5 linked regions of the Macaca fascicularis genome follow. The protein of the gene in region 2 interacts with the protein of the main gene of each other region in a biochemical or structural test. Links are inferred from orthologs where the notes say so. Each region holds a gene or a part of one and is shown on either strand. Other genes may lie near its edges.

Evidence for each region.
Region 1: the proteins of RET (region 2) and GRB2 form a complex in vitro, tested with the Homo sapiens proteins (3 studies listed by BioGRID). The link is inferred for Macaca fascicularis from reciprocal best matches to the Homo sapiens genes RET and GRB2.
Region 3: the proteins of RET (region 2) and LRRK1 form a complex in vitro, tested with the Homo sapiens proteins (2 studies listed by BioGRID and IntAct, with this or other methods). The link is inferred for Macaca fascicularis from reciprocal best matches to the Homo sapiens genes RET and LRRK1.
Region 4: the proteins of RET (region 2) and TLN1 interact in a surface display test, tested with the Homo sapiens proteins (2 studies listed by BioGRID and IntAct, with this or other methods). The link is inferred for Macaca fascicularis from reciprocal best matches to the Homo sapiens genes RET and TLN1.
Region 5: the proteins of RET (region 2) and GRB10 form a complex in vitro, tested with the Homo sapiens proteins (2 studies listed by BioGRID). The link is inferred for Macaca fascicularis from reciprocal best matches to the Homo sapiens genes RET and GRB10.

What each region holds. Positions count from the first base shown.
Region 1 is NC_088390.1:81,722,199-81,726,741, reverse strand, and holds part of GRB2 (growth factor receptor-bound protein 2), read left to right. Parts: intron 1-1,277; coding exon 1,278-1,446; intron 1,447-2,549; coding exon 2,550-2,735; 3' UTR 2,736-4,543. UniProt on the Homo sapiens protein: Non-enzymatic adapter protein that plays a pivotal role in precisely regulated signaling cascades from cell surface receptors to cellular responses, including signaling transduction and gene expression.
Region 2 is NC_088383.1:52,388,085-52,392,627, reverse strand, and holds part of RET (proto-oncogene tyrosine-protein kinase receptor Ret), read right to left. Parts: intron 4,155-4,543; coding exon 4,084-4,154; intron 2,485-4,083; coding exon 2,347-2,484; intron 1,284-2,346; coding exon 1,184-1,283; intron 1-1,183. UniProt on the Homo sapiens protein: Receptor tyrosine-protein kinase involved in numerous cellular mechanisms including cell proliferation, neuronal navigation, cell migration, and cell differentiation in response to glia cell line-derived growth family factors (GDNF, NRTN, ARTN, PSPN and GDF15).
Region 3 is NC_088381.1:85,976,007-85,980,019, forward strand, and holds the start of LRRK1 (leucine-rich repeat serine/threonine-protein kinase 1), read left to right. Parts: upstream 1-1,213; 5' UTR 1,214-1,401; intron 1,402-2,018; exon of another isoform or gene 2,019-2,427; intron 2,428-4,013.
Region 4 is NC_088389.1:63,691,869-63,696,411, forward strand, and holds part of TLN1 (talin-1), read left to right. Parts: intron 1-601; coding exon 602-745; intron 746-1,193; coding exon 1,194-1,355; intron 1,356-1,597; coding exon 1,598-1,738; intron 1,739-1,832; coding exon 1,833-2,014; intron 2,015-2,185; coding exon 2,186-2,318; intron 2,319-2,535; coding exon 2,536-2,637; intron 2,638-2,720; coding exon 2,721-2,891; intron 2,892-2,975; coding exon 2,976-3,125; intron 3,126-3,235; coding exon 3,236-3,337; intron 3,338-3,416; coding exon 3,417-3,536; intron 3,537-4,270; coding exon 4,271-4,417; intron 4,418-4,543. UniProt on the Homo sapiens protein: High molecular weight cytoskeletal protein concentrated at regions of cell-matrix and cell-cell contacts. Involved in connections of major cytoskeletal structures to the plasma membrane.
Region 5 is NC_088377.1:79,813,287-79,817,829, reverse strand, and holds part of GRB10 (growth factor receptor-bound protein 10), read right to left. Parts: intron 3,767-4,543; coding exon 3,651-3,766; intron 2,654-3,650; coding exon 2,585-2,653; intron 876-2,584; coding exon 738-875; intron 1-737.

The sequences.
Region 1 (4,543 bases), on a different chromosome or scaffold from region 2:
CAGGCTGGAGTACAGTGTCCCAATCTCAGCTCACTGCAAGCTCTGCCTCCTGGGTGCAAGCGATTCTCCTGCTTCAGCCTTCTGAGTAGCTGGGACTACAGGCACATGCACATGCCACCACACCTGGCTAAATTTTTGTATTTTTAGTAGAGATGGGGTTTCACCGTGTTAGCCAAGATGGTCTCAATCTCCTGACCTTGTGATCCGCCCATCTCGGCCTCCCAAAGTGCTGGGATTACAGGCGTGAGCCACCGCGCCTGGCCGAGAATGCCTTTTTGAGCGCCTGGCCAGGTGAACAGGACAGGCAGAAGCGCCCTCGCTGGGCTGGTGTTCTAGCCAAATATCCTGTGACAGACCCTGTGAGCTAGTACCAGCCAGCCACACTGTTGCTGGTTTTGCTAGCCAGTGTAAAAGGGTGTGATCTGGTGATGGAGAAGCTTTTGGGTTTCGAAGCCTGGGCCTCTTTTATTGTGCCAGTGTGTCCTTTCATTCAGAGACCTTTTCCCCGTGAGTGGATCTAAAATTCCTGAATGGAAAACATGACTTGGAACTATTCGCAGTTACGAGAGAATTGTTGAAAGTATTTCCAGCCCTCCTCACCTTCTTCCTGCATATAACATTTTAATTATTTTTTTATTCAAAGGAAGTTAAGTCACACTTCTTTGTCTTAAGTAAGGCTGTTTTATTTGTTAGGGTTCAGGGCACATGGACTGTTTTTTTCTTTTTTTTTGAGACAGAGTTTCACTCTTGTTACCCAGGCTGGAGTGCAGTGGCGCAATCTCAGCTCACTGCAACCTCCGCCTCCTGGGTTCAAGTGATTCTCCTGCCTTGGTGTCCCGAGTAGCCGGGATTACAGGCATGCACCACCACGCCCAGCTACTTTTGTATTTTTAGTAGAGATGGGGTTTCTCCATGTTGATCAGGCTGGTCTCGAAATCCCAACCTCAAGTGATCTGCCCGCCTTGGCCTCCAAAGTGTTGGGATTACAGGTGTGAGCCACCGTGCCCAGCCTGGACTCTTTATCTTACAAACATCTTCAGAATGAGAGTGACTGATGGCCTGTCCCTGTTTGGTTTCTTCATGTTGTCCTGGTGCCCATCAGTCATAGGGAGGGGTCTGTTCCAGGGACACGCAGTGAGGAAGCTTGTTACTCTGCAGTCCCTGAGGAGTGCTGCCGGGACAGTGGTTCTCTCAGGATATCGCTTATATGGGCAGATAGCCTTCGATTTGCCAGGTTAGAGCCTTTAGCCGGTCCATGTGCTCTCTGTCCCTCCCAGGTTTGGAAACGATGTGCAGCACTTCAAGGTGCTCCGAGACGGAGCCGGCAAGTACTTCCTCTGGGTGGTGAAGTTCAATTCTTTGAATGAGCTGGTGGATTATCACAGATCTACATCTGTCTCCAGAAACCAGCAGATATTCCTGCGGGACATAGAACAGGTGCCACAGGTAAGCCTCATCAGGGTGAGATGGGATCATTTTAGAAATTAAGAATAGCTCCTCAGTGTGCATTCCTGTGGGAAGGGGGAGGTGACCCTCAATCAACATGCAGGCGCCCTTCAGGGATTGCCACTGGGGCTTCTGTGCTCGTTACTGAACACGTTACCTTCCATTCACACTAAAAATTTCTTGTTTCTGGCCCAGCGTAGTAGCTCATGCCAGTAATCCCAGCACTTTGGGAGGCTGAGGCAGGCAGATCACTTGAGGTCAGGAGCTTGAGACCAGCCTGGCCAACATGGTGAAACCCTGTCTCTACTAAAAATACAGAAATTAGCCAGATGTGGTGGCGCCCACCTGCGCTTGGGAAGCTGAGATGGAAAAATCGCTTGAACCCAGGAGGTGGAGGTCACAGTGAGCTGAGATTGTACCACCGCACTCCAACCTGGGTGACAGAGGGAGACTCCATCTCAAAAAAAAAAAGAAAAAGAAAAAGAAAGATTTGTTGTTTTAAATATAGGATTTTTGCTTTTCCAGAGGCAGTGTGTAGCCAGCTTGCCAGTCTCTCTAGGGAGATGGTCTTTAACACACCCACCCAAAGATCCTGTCCCTGGAGGCAAATTATGAGGAAAACTATGCTTGTGAGGGAGTGAGGTCGGCACCGTTCCTGTCCCTCGAGCCCTGGTCATAAGTTACAGTTAGAGTCCCTTATGTTATGCGAGCTCCAGAATTTTAGGCTCTAATATCTTAAGGGTGTGGTAGAAGGGATTTGCAGATTCTGGGCCCACAGCCTAAACACAGACGGCTGTTTCTGAAGAACTTTCCCCTCCAAGCACTGCCTGCCCTCTACTTGATAATATGGCACAGTTGGCCACCCTCCTCTGGGAGACATACTCTAGCATTTTCTGAGCACTGGGAAAGATCACACTAAACCCGCTTGGCCTGTAAACTTAGAAGAGGTAAGAATAAATGGGGGGTTGGGAGATGGGAGGTGAGTTTAGAAAACATGGAGAATTTGGCACGCATTCGTTTCCCCCTGGAACCCGTCTGGCCTCGGAGGTGGCCGGCCACAGACCAGGAATGCAATATGGGTTTTTCCTGCTCCTGTTTTGCAGCAGCCGACATACGTCCAGGCCCTCTTTGACTTTGATCCTCAGGAGGATGGAGAGCTGGGCTTCCGCCGGGGAGATTTTATCCATGTCATGGATAACTCAGACCCCAACTGGTGGAAAGGAGCTTGCCACGGGCAGACCGGCATGTTTCCCCGCAATTACGTCACCCCCGTGAACCGGAACGTCTAAGAATCAAGAAGCAATTATTTAAAGAAAGTGAAAAATGTAAAACACATACAAAAGAATTAAACCCACAAGCTGCCACTAACAGCAGCCTGTGAGGGAGTGCAGAACACCTGGCCGGGTCACCCTGTGACCCTCTCACTTTGGTTGGAACTTTAGGGGGTGGGAGGGGGTGTTGGATTTAAAAATGCCAAAACTTACCTATAAATTAAGAAGAGTTTTTATTACAAATTTTCACTGCTGCTCCTCTTTCCCCTCCTTTGCCCTTTTTTTCATCCTTTTTTCTCTTCTGTCCATCAGTGCATGACGTTTAAGGCCACGTATAGTCCTAGCTGACGCCAATAATAAAAGACAAGAAACCAAGTGGGCTGGTATTCTCTCTATGCAAAATGTCTGTTTTAGTTGGAATGACTGAAAGAAGAACCACTCTTTCTGTGTTCTTCGTATATACACACAAAAAGGAGCGGGCAGGGCAGCTCGACACCTTTGCTGTTTAACTTCCTCCAGAGGAGGGGGCTTGTAGGAATCTGCCTTCCAGCCCAGACCCCCAGTGTATTTTGTCCAAGTTGGCAGTAGAGTGGGGTAGAAGGAAAGCATGTCGCTGCCTCCATGGCTTCCCTAGAAAGCCTGCCTGGGCCGGGCAGCGTGGTGGCTCACGCCTGTAATCCCAGCACTTTGGGAGGCCAAGGTGGGTGGATCACAAAGTCAGGAGTTCGAGACCAACCTAGCCAACATGGCAAAACCCTGTCTGTACTAAAAATACAAAAATTAGCTGGGTGTGGTGGCATGCGCCTGTAATCCCAGCTACTCGGGAGCCTGAGGCAGGAGAATCACTTGAACCTGGGAGGTGGAGGTTGCAGTGAGCCGAGACCATGCCATTGTACTCCAGCCTGGGTGACAGAGCGAGGCTCCATCTCAAAAAAAAAAAAAAAAAGCCCTCCCAACAGCCTGTCTCTTTCCACTTTGTTGGCCCTTCCAGTGGGATTATCGAGCATGTTGTTTTTTCATAGTGCCTTTTTCCTTATTTCGAGGGTTGCTTCTGAGTGGTGGTGTTTTTTGTTTTTGTTTTTGTTTTTAATTTGTTTTGTTTTAAAATAAGTTAAAGACAGTCCAGAGCTTTTCAGCCAATTTGTCTCCTACTCTGTGTAAATATTTTTCCCTTGGGGCAGGGTAGAGCAAGGGAGACAAGCAGGAGTACAAGGTGAAGCATTCTCCTGCTTGTACTAAGCCAGGAGGCTTTAAGCTCCAGCTTTAAGGTGTGTGAGCCCCTTGGGGGTTCAGGGAACTGCTTGTCCAGGTTGCAGTGTGAGTGTGACGGGCCACCGGGGCAAGAGGGAAGGTGACCACCCAGCTCTCCCACATCCCACTGGATCTGGCTTACAGGGGGTTGGAAGCCTGTCCTCACTGTCTCAGGGGTTGTGGCCCCCACCCCATCACTATATGCACCCCTGGAACCAGCAAGCCCCAGACAAGGAGAGCGAAGGAGGAAGTCATGGGAACGCAGCCTCCAGTTGTAGCAGGTTTCACCTTATTCCTATGCTGGAGTGCACAATGAGAGTACTCACTTCTCACCTGTCTTGCTCTTAGATTGGGCTGTGGCTTTCATCCTGTGTCCTCTGACCTGTCCAGATGAGCGTGAGGGCAGCATTGGGAAGCCAGAGTGCTGCTTGTGCCTCCCTTGCCAGTGGGCTGTGTTGACTGCTGCTCCCCACCCCTACAGATGGTCCCAGGAAGCAGGGAGAGTTGGGGAAGGCAAGATTGGAAAGAAAGACCAAGGCCTCGGCAGAGATCTCTGTCTTCTCTCCACTTCTGGT
Region 2 (4,543 bases):
TGCAGCGACATGCCAGGATGCAGCCCCAGCCTGCAGGATGTTTTCCAGCTTTCCCCAAGGATCCCTGTCATCTAGAACATCACGTCAGGGCTGAGACTTCTGAAATCTGACAGTGCTGTCAGGGTGCACATGACCCTGCTACAGGCACAGGCTCCCCAGCATGAGGGGCCACTTGCATCTGCTCCTTTCAATGCCCAGCTTGAATGTGCACAGAGGGGCCCAGTGTTTTCCTGGCTGTTTCTCAGCACTGTTCTAGGAAGGCCAGAACCAGTGATCACTTCTGTTTAGAACAACCCTGCATTCTCAGGACTTGGGAGTTTTCATCCAAGCGAGACAGTGATGTGAAGTGTTCCTACGGGGTCCTAGGTCCTGCATCCTGCTATCCAAGTCTGAAGAAGTGACAATTCAGTAAATGTGCCAATGTTAAGACAAGGTCTGTGTGTAAACCCCTTGAGGACAGGGCTGTGCTGGTCTTGTTTATTTGGATTCCCAGCCTCTGAGACACAGTACGGGTCCTAGCAGCTGCCTGATGAAACTGGTTGAAAATGTGTAGAACTCACAAACTGTACTTCCAGGCACGCGGGCTGACTCTGGTCACCCCCCGATAAGCTTTGTTTTGCCTACATTCGGCTCTGGGAAATTTAAATGAATTGTTAACAATAAAAACTGGGAGACAACATAAACCTCGTAAAATTCAGAAGACCCGGTCCATTCCTGGCTCCTTTCTCTGCAGGCCACAGGTCCCCCAGCAAGGAACCTTTTGGAGGGGCCTGGCTGTTTGTCACAGTCTCCACTGCTCCTTACTCACTGCCCTCCCCCAGCTGGGCTCCCCTCTGGGCATCTGAATTTTGGGCACTTGCTTCAACTCGACTTTCTCATTTTCCATTATGGAAAACAATTTTTTTGGCTTTGGAATATTTTCCTCCCATGCCTGTCTGTAGAGAGCTCTTCCTAAATGTCAAGAATCTTGGTTTCTTCATGACTTGAAAAGAAGCCCAAGCAGCCTGGCCTGAGAAGGGTTCGGTCTGCTGTCTGCACGCAGGGGAGAGCATGACTGTCTCTCTCTGCACAATCCCACTGTGGCCTCCCACTGGGAACTCTGAGGGCTAAAACCACTGCCTGGGGTGAGGCTGGAGTCTCCCATGCCACTTTCAGCTGGTGGGAATTGGCCCCAGGCACTCACTCTGCTCTTAACCATCATCTTCTCCAGGTCTTTGCTGATGTCCGCAAACACTGGCCTTTTGTCTGGCTCCTGCTTCCAGCACTGCAGCATCAGGCGGTACCTGGTGGGAAGAGCAGACAGGCCAATGTGACCCAAGCAAGGCCAGGTCTCGGAAGGACAGCCCACCACAGTCACCTCACCCTGCCCTGCACCCTGGGCCCAGTGTGCTCTGTTTCCAACCCCAAAGCTATTTCTGCATCGCTGACATCTCTGAGCCTTGCTGGGACTGGGGCATGGCCTGTCTGCAGGATCCCAGCCCATGGGCCACTGTGCTCAGGTCTCCCAGAGCTGTGGTCCAGAATCCTATAGGCTTCCCTTCCCTCCAAGGGAGATTCATTTTTACTTCCCTTGCAAAGACACTGGTAAACAGCTCACTGGATACTATGCCTGCTCTGGCAGCTAAGTGATAAGTGCCCGTCCTTAAAACTCTCAAGAAGGATGAATTGACTGAAGGCTTTTAGGTGTGGAGACAGACAAACAAGAACCTTTGGCAATCACATGTCTGTCCTGCACTGTCCTTGCTTGCTAGGTGCCCAGGCAGACCACAGTGCTCCAACTGGCCACCAGCTGGGGGCCCAGGGAGGTGGTGCCTGGCTTCTTGGCCCAGGATGCCCCCTCCACGCCCCACTCTATGGAATGCATGGACCAAGCATCTCTGCCTCTGGGCAGCCCTTTCTCATCTGTTCTCGGCCTGGTTTCTAAGACCATCTCTCCCAAGAGTGTAAAGGCTTCAACCTCTCAGGTTGCAGCCCAGGCTGCCCCTGCCTGGCTCTGTACCTCTGCTCAGGCACCCCTTAACACGTGCCCCCTGGGCCATTTGGAATTACCAGCTCCTCCCCAAGTGTCATGCTGGGACAGCTCTCAGCCTTCGAGCTTGTATTGTACCAGTCCCTGCTCTCGCTCATTTTTATAAGAGCCCCTAGCAAGCCCACCAGCCCTCAGCAGGGTAGGACCCCCAGCATCTACGGCAACACCCAAGGATGGCTCTCTAACCTCTGCCCTGCCCACTCCCCAGCCCCCACTTCTCCTGGTTTCTCCTGGGGCTGCTCTGGATGGGGAGGGAATGCACACAGGTGTCCCCTCCCTTCCCAAGTGAGGCTGGGCCAAAGCCGGTTCCCGCTCACATCTCCTCGCTGCAGTTGTCTGGCCTCTCCATCCGGTGGCCGGTCTTCAGAAGGTTGAAGAGCCGCTCAGGAGGAATCCCAGGATAGGGGTTGCCCCCTAGGGTCACAATCTCCCACAGCAGGACACCGAAAGACCATCTGCAGAGAGCAAGAAGACCAGTGAGTGGTTCTACCTGGCCCTCACAGTGCCCTCCGGGGGGCCCAGATGTCAATCCCTACCACCAAGCACCTGCTGACCCTGTCGGCCCCAAGCACAGATGCTCACAGATGTCAGCCTGGGTCTGGTTGCTCAGATGGATGTAGTATGAAGGTGCGGAAGGGCTGCCTGCCTGCCTGGCCCCTACTCCATGAAGCTGAAGTCCCTGCCCAAGCCACTCCCATTGGAGCAGCCACACCCACAAGGGGCACATGAGGTTTGGCACTTAAAGGGGTGAGAATGCAGACCACCAGACTCAGAGTGCCTTATATAGTTCTTTCACCATTTCTATGTGCTTGGAAAATTTCGTAAAATCTTAGAAGGAAAAAAGCTATAGAAAAACATTTTAACTGTGAAGGAAAACTTGCTGTGCAATGGGAACAATATCATATCACAAAACAGCATCGCATGAGCCCATTTAGGGCAATAAAAAGCATACATGTGCACACCACAGAGCACACCAGAGGGCAGCCAGAAGTCACTGTGCGGTGTGGTCCAGTGACATTCAGTCTCTTCTTTATGCTTTTCTCTCTGCCTTTTCCAACTAGCCTACACTCAGCTTATGTAATTGGGAAGCTGTTGTCCAAATAGTTGCTCACAGCCCACAGTATTTAAGATGCACGTGTTGGCCAGGTGTGGTGGCTCACGCCTGTAATCCCAGCACTTTGGGAGGCTGAGGTGGGCGGATCATTTGAGGTCAGGATTCGAGACCAGCATGACCAACATGGTGAAACCCTGTCCCTACTAAAAAATACAAAAAAATGAGCCAGGAGAGGTGGCGCGTGCCTGTAATCCCAGCTACTCAGGAGGCTGAGGCACAGGAATCGCTTAAACTCGGGAGGTGGAGGTTGCAGTGAGCCAGTATTGTGCCACTGCACTCCAACCTGGGTGACAGAGTGAGACCCTATCCTCCCATCAAAAAAAAAAAAAAAAAAAAAAAAAAAAAAGAGATGCACATCATACCTCTGCTGACTATAGAACACTTTAGAGGCAAGAATCCTGTGTTTTGAAAGCGATCAGCTCTTGTCACTGGACCTGAATAATGAATTTTTGGCTTTCACCTTTGAGCAGTTTGGGGCACACCAATCTATAAACTCACACAAGGCCATCTTCAGGTGGAGTCCCCAAGCTCCACTTGTGGGTGGGGGCAAGTCACTGGGCACTCTGCCTGAGCCCAAAGCCCTATTCAGGACCACAGGAGGGTAACTGCTGGGCTGGGCCTGTGAGTCACCAAGGGGCCCAGAGGGAGGCGTGGGGCTGGCAAGGGCGGGGGAGGCTGGGTTACTGGCCACCTGCTCTGCTCTCATGCTCCACTGGAGCTTTCAGAACTGCAGGCTGGCCTGGCCCAGCCATTCGCCTCATGAATACATCATGAAGTCCCCTCAGTGAGGGGGTCATTGTGGAGGGCTGACACTGCAGACAGGTGCTCAGGGCCAGCGCAATTCCCTGGCCAAACTGCATGGATGGGGTGCCGTGGCCTGACTACACATATAAGGGTGTTTCTGTAACCCCCACCCCAAGACAGCAACACCCACACTTACACATCACTTTGGGTGGTGTAGATATGATCAAAAAGAGATTCAATTGCCATCCATTTAACTGGAATCCGACCCTAAAGAGGGGATGGAAGAAAGACATTTAAGTTACTCTGACGCTCTAGGAAGGAGGGGTGACGGAGAAGGCCAGGCCTTATCCCTGAGCTTTCAGCAGCCAGAGTGCTGTAGACACTCCTGGGCACAGAGCTGGCCACACACAGCTTTGAAGGGGCTGGAGCTTCAGCCTGAACCTCCTGGGGATTGCTGAGATGCTGGCGGGAGTCAGCTGCCTGCCCACAGCCACACAGGGCCAGTTTGTCACACAACACAGGCCTGCTGGTGGTGTAGAGCAGTGCTTCCCTATGCATGGGCCTGGAACTCCTCCAGCAAGATCTCTGCTAGGGTTCTGAGGGCCAATGTGTTTGGGAAACCAACATCTAGCATTTCCATGTTGGGCACTTTGCCA
Region 3 (4,013 bases), on a different chromosome or scaffold from region 2:
GCGAAAGGATCAATTTGGGTTTCACTGACCTCAAGTTTCTAAAGCTTTTAACCAAGAAGCCTCAATCACCACGTTGGGAGCTGACACTGACACTGGATCAAGATCATTGGTGGTACTGGGGTATGTTCTTGAAGCTCAACCTGTGCATTTGATGTAGAAAGCCCAGATCACTTTGATGTGGGTGGCAAAGCACCACCTCTTTAACAAAAAACTTAAGGGAGGCTGGGATCAGATCTCTCGTAAGATACACCCTTATGTTAAGAGAATTTAGACACATTATTTAGAGACATCCCATTTCTCAATCCAAATGCGAGCAGAAAACTATAGGAGAAGGATATTTTCCCTCATTTGGTGTCCCGGAATGTGACTCCCTGAAGGGAGCCATTCTGGGGACAATTGGAGGGTGTAGTGTGCGTGTGCACACATGCATTTGTGTGCCTGGTGTGCGTGTGGGGGTTGGCACACTCTCTAGAAGTGGACCCTTTGGGATGGCCTAGCTTCTTCTGCTGGTGGATGAAGATTTGCTCCTTGCTCCTAGGCATGAGCTTGAAGGGGGTTCATGAAGGGTGTTTAGGAAGTTGTTCAAGGAAGACTGTCAGAGGAAACTGCGAACTGGGCTGAAGAAAAACAACCAGAAAACACAGAAGGAGCTCTCAGCCACTGTGCCTTCAAAAAGAGAGAAAAGTCAGTTCAGGGAGGTGGCTTCCAGCTGACCTCACCCACCTCAGGAGGGGTCATTCCAACCTAGGGTGCTGAGAATCCGGGTGGGATTACCAACAAAGCTAGAGAACCGTGGGTCAGCGAGCCTTAGGAAGAAGTGGAAAGGAATCTTAACTTATCTGCAATAGCCTTCCTATGAGAAGTTGTGGCTAACACATGCCTAATGGCTAGAATTAAATGCTGGGAATATAACGGGCTCAACACAGGTCATCCGCGTGTCAAATGTTCCTGCTGTTTTCTACATTGGGGACATTTCCTAGCCTATTCCCAAGCTCATTTAGAAGGGAAGCGGAGGTGCCCCGCCTTACTGGGCGGCGTCCCCTCCAGCGGCTGCCCGGGCCCTGGGCCTGCGCTCCCTCGCGGTGGCGCCAGGTGGCGGGGCTGCGCGCCCTGGAGGAGCTGCGCCTCAGTCGCGGGGCTCTCTCAGCACTGAGGACACCACGCCCTGCAAACTGTTGGGAACTTATCTGTAGCAATCACACTGCTGGCTCCTGTAAACTGGTGTGAGGCCCTCAGGGGTGAGAACAGGATTGCAGAACTGCGCTTACCCTTTTGGAAACTCGTCCAGTGGCAGGAGCAGCCTCCCAGGAGCAGAGCAGACCTGCTCGGTGGTCCCCTCGCCAACCAGGGACCCAAGAAGCCGCTCAAGGAAACACGGTCCCGCGGTGTCCGGGAGGTCCTGTAAGAGCCCTGTAGCTGCCCGGGTTCTGTGAAATGTCAGTGAGGGTGGGGGAGATCTGCGCGAAATCCTGGGAATATGCGAGTCATAACACTTCAGGAGAGGAGCCTAGGGTGCTGGTCCTGCAGGGCGTGGAACCCTCTGCTTTTCCTGAGCAGGCCTTTTCCCTGGGTCGACACGTGGAGCTCAGTGTGAGGCCCTCCTGCAGAGTGGACGCGGATCTTTATGGTCTGCGTTTCTATATTAGCCTCAGCAGCCTGATGACACCTTTATGAAAGGTTGAAACACGATAAATTACCAATATTCCATGTTTTATGTATTCCCCCCAAAGCCGACAATTAAACATGATTCACCAAACAGCAAATACTTTGCATACATCCATTATTGAATTAGTAAAATCCATGTGATGGAGGATGTGCAAACTGCAAATCGTTAACGCTTTAGAACTACATATTTCTGTATTGCCCTGGAAAGAACTGTACACAAATGAATATTCCCTGTCTTTTTAATTTTTACGGACGGAGTGTATGGGCCACATGCAAGTTAGGGGCTGATCTGCTGATTTTGCTGCCACTAGAGCAGAGGGATAGTGAAAGCGGGGCTGAGCGCAGCACCGACCAATCTCATCGCCGCGCTTGCCCCGCGTGGAGGGAGCCGAGTGCCCGAACCTGAGGGAGAGACCTGGTACTAGAATGGCCCGCGGACCCCGGCGTCTCCCGGGGCACGGGGGTTGAGCGCGATCGCCCGCGTTTTACGGCTAGGGAAACTGAGGCGGCCACCGAGGGGACGCCTCGAAACCATTCCGGCGAGAGCTGGCGGCGGCCTTGCTCTGCGAGCTCTTCGCGCCACTCGCCCTCCCCGCCCGCCCGCCGGCCTCAGGATTGAGGAAGTGCGTCTGGGCCCGGCCCCGGCGCGCGGCCCGAGGCGCGGGGGGCAGACGGCTGTGGGACGGCCAGGCCCCGGCCCGCCAGTGTCCGCCCAGCCCCGCGTCCCGGAGCGTCCGTACCCGGGCCCCGCCGCCGCCGCAGGTAAGTGCTGTTCCTCTCCGCGCCCCCCAGGGACCTGGTTGCCTCCTGCGGCCGGCCCGGGAATCCGGAGCCCGCGCCCGCGTCCGCGGGGAGCCCTGGCCTCTGCCTGCCGCGGGCCTGCGCTCCAGGCGGCCGCATGGTCGGACATGGGTGGCCGTTGCGCAGGGGCCGCAGCCCGAGGGGCGCGGAGGGCGTGTGGGGTGACCCCCAGTCTCACGTCCCGGCTGCCTCCTGCCACGCCCGTAGCCCAGCCAACCTGTGGTAGGGGGGTGTGCGGGCCCGAGCGGGGAACCCCGAAACCCCGTATGGGACAGGGTCGGGAACGCTGGGAAGCAGAGGCAAGAAACACAAGCAGGCAAATACACCAGGGCGTCCATATATTTCCTCTCCCTTTGGAGAAAACCCCGTCCTTTAACGGGGAGCGGGCGGAGAGTGAGCGCGCGGTTGTGCCTGTGCCAGGGTGTTGACAAGAGACAGTCCAGGAGTCTCTCACTGCTCCAGGGCTTCCTGGTGTTGCGGGGTGGCCCAGCGAGGCTTCACCCTCCTCAATGTCTGGGTTATGCTTCTTGCCCAGGTGTCTTCTGGCTGGTACAGATACAACTGCTATGTCTGCCATGGTCTCTGCAACCTACGCAGGACCTTCCCGGCAGGCAGGGAGGCAGGCGAGGAAGCCTAGTAAGGCCGGGGTCAGCCGGGAGCCGATGGTGGAGAATATAAAGACCCCTGTGGCCATTTCAACCTACCCCTTCACAGTTTGAGGCCACGAAATTTTTCTCCCACAAACACAACCCCTGCAACAGGTAGAGAAACAGGGGCATATAGCTTTTAGCAAACCTCTCACCATGTACACTAATTTTAGAGTTTGCCACTCACTCGCAGGGTATCAAAATGCCCAGACATTAAAGGGACAGCTAGAACATGCACAATTTTGGAAAATGTTAAGTTAAATGTCTTTTATGATTTGATTTTCTTCATCTGTGCCTATGTCCTGAAAGAGAAAATAGTATAACAAACTAACCTCACACCTAATTTGTTCCTAAAGGAGGTTTTGCTGTCAGCCAAACCTTTCCTTCTCCCAAATGTCAATGTCTCAGGGAGTGACCTCACAATCAACTCAGATGCTCAGATCAAAAACATTCAGTCTGTGGATCTACGTCTAAAATGTGTCCTGGTCTGTCCCCTTTTTTCTTATGTCCCCCACCCCTTGTCCCGGGTACCAGCATCTCTTTACTGTAGGATTACAGTTCCCCCTCCCTCCATTCTCTATATAGCAGCGTGTGTGTGTGTGTGTGTGTGTGTGTGTGTGTGTGTGTGTGTGTGTTTAAATGGGTAAATAGGACTATATCAGTCCTCTGTATGGAATCCTTCAGTAGCTTCTCCTTGCCATTGGCATGCGATCCAGGAGACCTCCTTCTCCTTACACCCCCAGCTGATCCAGCCTCTGCTATCTCAGACCACCAGGCCATTGCCCCCAGCCACCCTGACTGAGCTCACTGTCCAGCACTGGGCCCCTGCACTGCTGCCTCCCGACTCTTCACATAGCCTCAGAAAGCCTTCCCTGGTCACCCTCTTAAAACCCACACTCT
Region 4 (4,543 bases), on a different chromosome or scaffold from region 2:
TTCCCCCAACTTGTGAAAATGCATAGAGGAAAAAGCAAAGCTAATGTGTATTGATTGAAGTATGAATCAAACATTAGGATGTTGTTTCCATCATAAAAACGGCTTTTTAATCCCTCCCTTCCCTTTCCAAAAATACCTGCTGCATGGAGGTGCTGTAAATGTGAATTAGCCTAATAATCTTCATCAGTTTTGAACTGTCTTTAAAAGAGGCTTTGCTTGTGTGCACGAAGGTGTATATTTGTATTTCACTCTTAAACTTTTTACTGCTACTTAAAGTAAGCCATACTTTTTACTCAAAGACCCAGCATACACAAACATATCTAAATAGAGATTTGATAAAAACCCTTGTTATATAGTTTTCCTTTTGATTAACTTTTTTAATCTTCTGAAATGCTTGAATATACTTAATGAAACAGGAGAGTATTTTTTTTCTTCTTTACAGTATAACCATAGTTTGCTAATGTATCTCCACTCATGGAGAACTCTGAAAAATAAGCCCTGTTCTCTAAACTTACCTCTGCTCTCTTTTGTCCCTGCTATCACTATTCATTTCCCACCTGCAATCTTTATTCCTCACCCCAACCCCCTTTTCTCTTCCTAGGCTGCATATCTGGTTGGTGTCTCTGACCCCAATAGTCAAGCTGGACAGCAAGGGCTGGTGGAGCCCACACAGTTTGCCCGTGCAAACCAGGCAATTCAGATGGCCTGCCACAGTTTGGGAGAGCCTGGCTGTACCCAGGCCCAGGTAACTCAAGGGAATAGGGACCACAGGCAAGTCTGGGAAAGGGCAGACCAACCCCGTGGAGTAGAGGGAGGTGAGGCATGTGGGAAAGAAGGCAGGGACCCATCTCTGACCTTGCACACAAGGCTTCTCTTTGAGTAACTATCTTTTTCTGCCATGGGTCTCATCATTTTTCAGTTACTGCTAAATTCACAACTTCTCTGTAGATGTTCGAGCTTACTCTCCCACCAGCCCTCTTATGGCTTCTCCGTTAGTATGTCTTTCCTCTCCCATGCCCAGTTCATCTTTGGGTGTCTCTGTCTCCTAGATCTTGACTTTTCAGGTGACTCTGTTTTTCCTGTTTTGACTCCCCAGGGTATTGCTCTCCATCCTCTGACCCTAAAATGGCTCCTCCTTGGGTATGTACACCTCCTTCCTGCCCTCATTGTGGCTCTTCCACGTGTCTCCTCAGGTGCTCTCCGCAGCCACCATTGTGGCCAAACACACCTCTGCACTGTGTAACAGCTGTCGCCTGGCTTCTGCCCGTACCGCCAATCCTACTGCCAAGCGCCAGTTTGTACAGTCAGCCAAGGAGGTGGCCAACAGCACAGCTAATCTTGTCAAGACCATCAAGGTTCCCAGTGCTTGAATTCCCAGCCTCTCCCTGACCTGTCCGATCTTCTCTCCCGAGTCCCCCAGTTATTCTCTGAGGCCTTCTACCAAATCCCTTCTGCCTGAGCCCAAACTCTTTCTATCCAGACTGACCCCCTAGCCTCTCCCCAAATCCTTTAAGTCCTGGGAAGGAGACCTGGACTTCACTTCCTATACCCCCTATGCCTGCATCCCAAGTCCTGAGAGCCTCTCTGTCACTTCTAGGCGCTAGATGGGGCCTTCACAGAGGAGAACCGTGCCCAGTGCCGAGCAGCAACAGCCCCTCTGCTGGAGGCTGTGGACAATCTGAGTGCCTTTGCGTCCAACCCTGAGTTCTCCAGCATTCCTGCCCAGATCAGCCCTGAGGTGAGGCGATGTGAAGGGGGACCTGACAGGCCAGCTTATCACCTCATCTTCCAGGGAATCCTGAGACTTACCTTCCTGCCTCCCCTCTCCCCAGGGTCGGGCTGCCATGGAGCCCATTGTGATATCTGCCAAGACAATGTTAGAGAGTGCTGGGGGACTCATCCAGACAGCCCGGGCCCTCGCAGTCAATCCCCGGGACCCCCCGAGCTGGTCAGTGCTGGCCGGCCACTCCCGTACTGTCTCAGACTCCATCAAGAAGCTAATTACAAGCATGAGGTACTGAGGGGTGGAGAACCAGTGTGGCTGGGGGGCACACATTGTGGCAGAATGGAGGATGGGCACTTAAGTGCAATTAGATGGGATGGTGTTGGGAGGATATAGGGGAAGGATAGGCTGGCCTTGCACTAGGGGATGTTCTTGGTGTTGGAGCCCCTGATGTGTCTGCAGGGACAAGGCTCCAGGGCAGCTGGAGTGTGAAGCGGCCATTGCAGGTCTGAACAGTTGTCTACGGGACCTAGACCAGGCTTCCCTCGCTGCAGTCAGCCAGCAGCTTGCTCCCCGTGAGGGAATCTCTCAAGAGGTGAGGGGGAGAGGGTTATCTGGAAAGATGTGTCTAGGAAGAGAAATGTCATACTCAAAGAAGCTGGGGGATCATGGAGTGGCTTCTTAGGGACATCAAAGGGCTAGGATGTGCCAAGGAGGGTTAGGGTATTCAGTATGAAAGGAAGAGCAGTCCTGTGTAGCCAGAGGGTCCTATTGCAGGTCACGATCAGGGCTAAAGTCCACTTCCTCCCCAGGCCTTGCACACTCAGATGCTCACTGCAGTACAAGAGATCTCCCATCTCATTGAGCCACTGGCCAATGCTGCCCGGGCTGAAGCCTCCCAGCTGGGACACAAGGTACCTATGGAGACTCATGGGAAATCCCAGGGAGTAGGGTGAGAAAGAGGGGACCTGACCCCTAGTCCAACCCCTTGCCTCAGGTGTCCCAGATGGCCCAGTACTTTGAGCCGCTCACCCTGGCTGCAGTGGGTGCTGCCTCCAAGACCCTGAGCCACCCGCAGCAGATGGCGCTCCTGGACCAGACTAAAACATTGGCAGAATCTGCCCTGCAGTTGCTATACACTGCCAAGGAGGCTGGTGGTAACCCAAAGGTATTGAGGGTTGGGAGGGAGGAGCTGTTACTAGCAAGAGGCTGGAGAAACAGGAACAACAGAGCTCTTCTTCTCTCCCCACAGCAAGCAGCTCACACCCAGGAAGCCCTGGAGGAGGCTGTGCAGATGATGACAGAGGCCGTAGAGGACCTGACAACAACTCTCAACGAGGCAGCCAGTGCTGCCGGGGTCGTGGGTGGCATGGTGGACTCCATCACCCAGGCCATCAACCAGGTTAGAGTCTTGGGGTGCCTGTAGACACTGAGGCTACCCTGGGCCAGAGCCTCCAAGCACAGTGGCAGAGACCTTAACAGTCTTTCCCTGTCCCTGTCCTCCCCCTTCAGCTAGATGAAGGACCAATGGGTGAACCAGAAGGTTCCTTCGTGGATTACCAAACAACTATGGTGCGGACAGCCAAGGCCATTGCAGTGACCGTTCAGGAGATGGTGAGTTTGGGCGAGTGCCAGAGGACTGCCCTCGGAGAGCTGACTTTGGATATAACTTCACTCCTTCCATTATCACCAGGTTACCAAGTCAAACAGCAGCCCAGAGGAGCTGGGCCCTCTTGCTAACCAGCTGACCAGTGACTATGGCCGTCTGGCCTCGGAGGCCAAGCCTGCAGCGGTGGCTGCTGAAAATGAAGAGGTAAACGTGGAGGCAGCTCTGCCCTGCCCCCTGCCCCTTGTTCCTGATGTGTCAGCGTCTAGGGCTGTCCCACCCCCACCCTCTCTGGTCTTTCATAGAAAGGGGAACAACCTCAGGGCCACTCTGCTGAACACTAGTGAGGCTCTGGGTAGGGACAGAGGATCAAAGCCTTCTTCAGTCACGGGTACAAAGGAGACAGCTCAGAATCTGGAGCCTTCCTGGACCTGCCTCTTTGGCTTCTGCTGACCCTCATCTGGGCCTACGGCTGCTTCTGTGCTGTGCTGCCAGTCCATGTTCTTGTTCTTTCTTGCTGCAAGGCCATGAAGCTCTTCCTTACCTAAGCCTCTAGCTTTCCAAGAAACCAAGTAATTGGATCTTAGTAGGACACATGTAATCCCCATCCTCAAAACCCTCCATAACCCCATACAGGCCACATGGTAATCCATGGCCCTCTGATTCTAACACTCAAGCATAAAGTGCTCCTCCCCTCCTCCCCACTGTGCTTAACACAATCCTCACCACTTAGTGCCTGCATGCTACTATTTTCCATGTGTAGGAGGTTACCTCCTGTCTAAAGGACATGAAACCAGAAACGTCCTTGTGCTGGGAACTTTCTCTCTCTGCTGCTTTAATCTACGATGCATGTTTTTTCTATGTCCTTAGTGACTTTTCCAAGCACAGTGGTACCCTGAGTGCCCCTTGTAAAATCTCTCTCTCTTTCCCTCGGCTCACAGATAGGTTCCCATATCAAACACCGGGTACAGGAGCTGGGCCATGGCTGTGCCGCTCTGGTCACCAAGGCAGGCGCCCTGCAGTGCAGCCCCAGTGATGCCTACACCAAGAAGGAGCTCATAGAATGTGCCCGGAGAGTTTCTGAGAAGGTGACAATGCTCATCCCTGCAGATGGTGGGACTGCCTCCAAACTCTGTAGCCTTTGCCGTCCTCCTCCAGCCCTCTCAGCCCTCTCCTCTTGTCACTTCTCCCAGGCATGGGCAACCTTTCCATTT
Region 5 (4,543 bases), on a different chromosome or scaffold from region 2:
TTCTCTCTGGCCCATGCGTCAGCAGCCGCTGACTTCCCAGAGTTGGCCTGATGCTCAACACCTGTGCCAGGGTCCCGCCAGCTCCCTTTCCCCTTTGCTGGCCAGAGTAAAAGAGACCGTAGCCCTCAGATGGTAAGTGCTCAGCCACGTTGAATGGACATGGCTCCTGCCACAGGGTGTATGTGGACAGCACGAGAAGAGAGCAGGCAAGAGTGTACATGGGAGCGAAGGAGCCTCCAGCCTAAGCCCTCAGTGCTACCAGCTGTCTTTTGAGGGCCTGCAGCTGTTTTCCATCTCCCACCTTCTTCTCACTACGGATACATGCAAACCTGAAATTTATTTCATAAAATATCTGATACATAAAGTTACACTGGCATTAGGGTGGCAATCATCTATCAAACATCTTTACAGCTAGCTTAAATCCCAACTTATGGGAACTAGGCCAGTCTCTGAAGTGATAGGGCAGCCAGGGAGGTCTGCTACCAACCCACAGTGGGGGTGGGGCTGGGCAGGTGGGGTTCTTAGGTATGTATTATTTATTACCTAGTTTCTGAGGGAGACCAGGAAACCTGTGACTCCAAGTTTAGCTGTTGCACAATTAGCTTATTAAGAAGTTGTCCTGAGCCTGGAGGAGTCTAAGGTGCATTTAAAAATGAAGCCTAGGTTTACTCTGAGGACTCCCGGGGGCAGTGACGGGGGCAGAATCAGGGCTGGTGGTGGCAGGTTTTAAAGCTCACCTTTGAAGTTCCCTTGGTGGAGCAATAAAGGCCAGATCTCCGCAAACACACATACAGCTTTTTCCATGATTTCTTTCCCAGCTCTTTCACATGCAAAAACCCTTGAATTTCAGGACAGCTACTGGAGTTCAGAAAATTCTGTTGAAGAACAAATTTTAAAAATTACATAATGCTAATCTAAAATAATTAAAGCAGACATGTTATTAGCATAACTGACATTTTCTGAATTATTAAAAGACTCCTTTTTTTGATCAAACTGAGCGTGTTCTCCTTTCCAAAGTCTTAAAATCCCATCTCAATTGGTGCTGCATAGAACATAATTCGTATTTAAACACATGCAAGCAAATGGACCTTTCTAACACTGGTGATAACACAAGTCACGAATTTCCCTGTAAGAGAGTGCACTGAAGGATCCAGTCTGATATCAGACTGAGGGCAAGAGCAAGTGCCATGACTGAGTGAGTGGGGCTCTGGGGACTGAGAGTGAGCATGTAGTGGCCACTTTTACCCAGGCACCCCTCCAGTCAAGGGTCACATAAAAGGTGTCATTTGTCTGCAAGTGATGAACCCAGGTGCAGGACATCCTGGTGATGTCCCCCTGTTCCACTTAACTTTTCCCACAGGCAGCCTTAAGAATAAAGCCTTTATCAAAACAAAACAAAACAAAACAAGAAACTATGCTTTTCATCAAAGGGAAGACAGGCCGAGGGCCAGGTCACGGAGCAAAGTTGGGGAGGTGATGTTGGCAGGTCTTGCTACTAGACTGGGAGGGGACAAAGCTCTTTTCCCCCAGGTGGGAAAGGCACGTCGGACAGAGCCCTAGTGCACCTGGGTCAGTCCTTCCTGAGTCTCAAGAGACCACAGCATATCTTCACAAAGCACATGAGTCCTCCCAAAGTCAAGGCAAGTTAAAACAGAATGTGCCATTTCACTGTTCACGGTGTACAGGTGGTACCTTAGCACTGACACCTCTCACCAGAACAGACACATGCTATGGTCAGAAGGGCTTCTGAAGACACCACCGGAACAGAGCTCTGAAGCTCTTATCTTTTAGATGCTGAAACAAATTTGGTGATAACAACATAGCAAAAGAAGGGCTTATGAGCAGAATTCTGTAGGAACTATATTTTAGTAGTTTCTGTTACATGTAATATGTCACTTGGATATTGTTGGTGGCCTTAGGAAATGATTCATTCTTTCACTTTTGACATGTACACAGGCATATTTTTAGGGTGTAGCTGTAACATTCCCATTCCCCGCTCCCAGCTTCCCTGGAGGAGCGTGTGTGACAGCTGAGCACAGAGGCCCTGGTGGCTCCCTCCACTGGAAGAGGAGGTGGGGAGAGACCAGATTTTCTCAGAACAGACTTTAGGACAATTAAAGCAGGTTTCTTTATTTGTAATGTATGGCAAGTTACTTGTAAAAGTCTGTCGTGGTAACCCAATCATCTTTTACTATAGACTCAGCGCTTCTGCAGAGATTTCCAAGCAGCTGGGCGGTGGCCTGACCTGGGACCCCTGCTCAGAAAGGAGCTGGGGAGCCCTGAAACTGGGGTTTCTCCATGCACCCCCCGGGCCACACTCAGCAGTGGCATCACTGGACTCTTCTAAGTCAGAGCAAGGGCATTCTGTGTGTAAGTGCCTGTTTGGCTCAGCAGGAATCCAGCTACACACAGATTTTCCAAGTAAACTTTTTAATTTCTGGTTACTCTAAACCCCCTTAAGGGCCAAAGTTATAAATGATGAAAGATGCAATCTCTTCAGGTTTTTTACAATGTTGCCATTCAGTTCCAAGAGGATTTCTATTCAGAAAGTCTATTTCAGCAGAGGTCTATTTTGGCCCAGTACCTGCAAAAGCTGGCTTTGACTGCCATTTGACTGCTGGCACCAAGTAACCATCTGTTCTGGGAAGAAATTCTAAGAAAATGGGAAAAAACAAATACGTGAAAGGTTAGTTTCAAAGTGAGGGAAGGTATGTCATATAGATAAGTAAATTTTAAAACTATTCCTACCAATATAATTATGTACACCTGTATTTAAAATGGCAGTCCTTTTTATTCTCCTATCACACAGAAGAAATAGCTCCTTCAAAAGGTTGTATTTCATTTCCTGAAATGTTGGGTACGAGTATGGAATACCACCTATGTTTACTAAGGGATGCATGTCTCACAGCATACTCCATGGCAAAGAGTGAGATAAAGAATTCCTGAAACTAAAAGGTAAGCCCAGTCACGAGAAAAGCCTTTTCTGTTGCATTCCCCAAAAACAGTCTTCAAATTTCTCACTCTGGAATAAAAAAGCAGCTAAATTATCAGAGTCAGAAATGACCCTGGGTCTTCTCCCCAGCTGACACAGCTCTGCCCCATGACTCAGGACGACAGTAAGTACCCCAGGAGCTAGGAGGTGCCCTCCCTATCCCGGCCTCTCACAGGACAAGTGCCTTCTTTCCCAAAGAAAGAAAGGGGAAGAGAGATCAAGGTGACCAGCTCAAGACACCACCAATCGCACTGATTTCTCTAGTCATTCTTCCACGTATGATCACAAAATGTGTTTGCTGTGTGCAGAGAATAATGAGTTTTTCTTCTGCTAAGTGTTTGATCAGTTTAACTGAGAACTTTCAAAATAACAGAAAACGCCCAGTCTCCCCCAGCTCCTGTCTTAGAGACTAACCCCCTTTACACTGTGTCTATTTGAAGAAGGAGACCTCTATCTTCAGCCAGTCCCAGGCACATTTAGTGAAGCACGAGACTGGGTTTCAAGCAAGGATTGCTTCATTAAACTGCAACTCTGACTCTCAAACCGATATGCTACGTCGTGCCTCTCAGTCACTTTCTAATCTGATACTATGAAACCCAAGTATAAACTTCCAGATGTCAAGAGTCCCAAACCCCAAACCTGAAGACGTAAGACTCACCATGGGATTTTTAAAGAACTCGTATTTTGCATAATTCTTCCGGAATAGAAATTTACTCTCACCGGCCATGGTACTCTCCACTTGGACCACCAGCTCGTGGTCTTCCAAGCACCTCTCTGCAGGGGCAAAGTATCACATGTGAGATGCAACAGGTGGGAAATTCATGGTAGCTTTACAACCAAATGCAAGATTTGTTCAACTTTCTATTCTTTAAACATTATGAATAGAGACGAGGTCAGGAAGGAAACTAAATTTAAATCTCTCTTTTATGTACTACCAAATTCATAAGAGGTCTTAAGATACACAGCATGAGGAATTCAGGTCAATACTTATTTTTATATACTTCTTTTGAATTTGGCATCAACCAGATGTTAAGGAATGAGTCCATAATACTCTCAGCAAATGATTTTGCCCTTAAATTAATAAATTTCAATTCTTGTAAATAAAAGACTACAACAAGAAACAAAGGAGAAAGAACTTGAAAGGGGAGGATGACCAAAGAGGGCCCAGAGATGGAAGCTTTTTTTTTTTTTTTTTTGAGACAGAGTCTCGCTCTGTCGCCCAGGCTGGAGCGCAGTGGCGCAATCTCAGCTCACTGCGAGCTCTGCCTCCCGGGTTCACGCCATTCTCCTGCCTCAGCCTCCTGAGTAGTTGGGACTACAGGCGCCTGCCACCACGCCTGGCCAATTTTTCTGTATTTTCAGTAGAGACGGGGTTTCACCATGCTAGCCACGACAGTCTCAATCTCCTGACCTCGTGATCTGCCCGCCTTGGCCTCCCAAAGTGCTGGGATTACAGGCATGAGCCACCGTGCCCGGCCGAGATGCAAGCTTTCTAATGACATCAAACTTGGTTGCCAGAAACGATGGTGCTGTGTACTGTGGGAGGGGCCG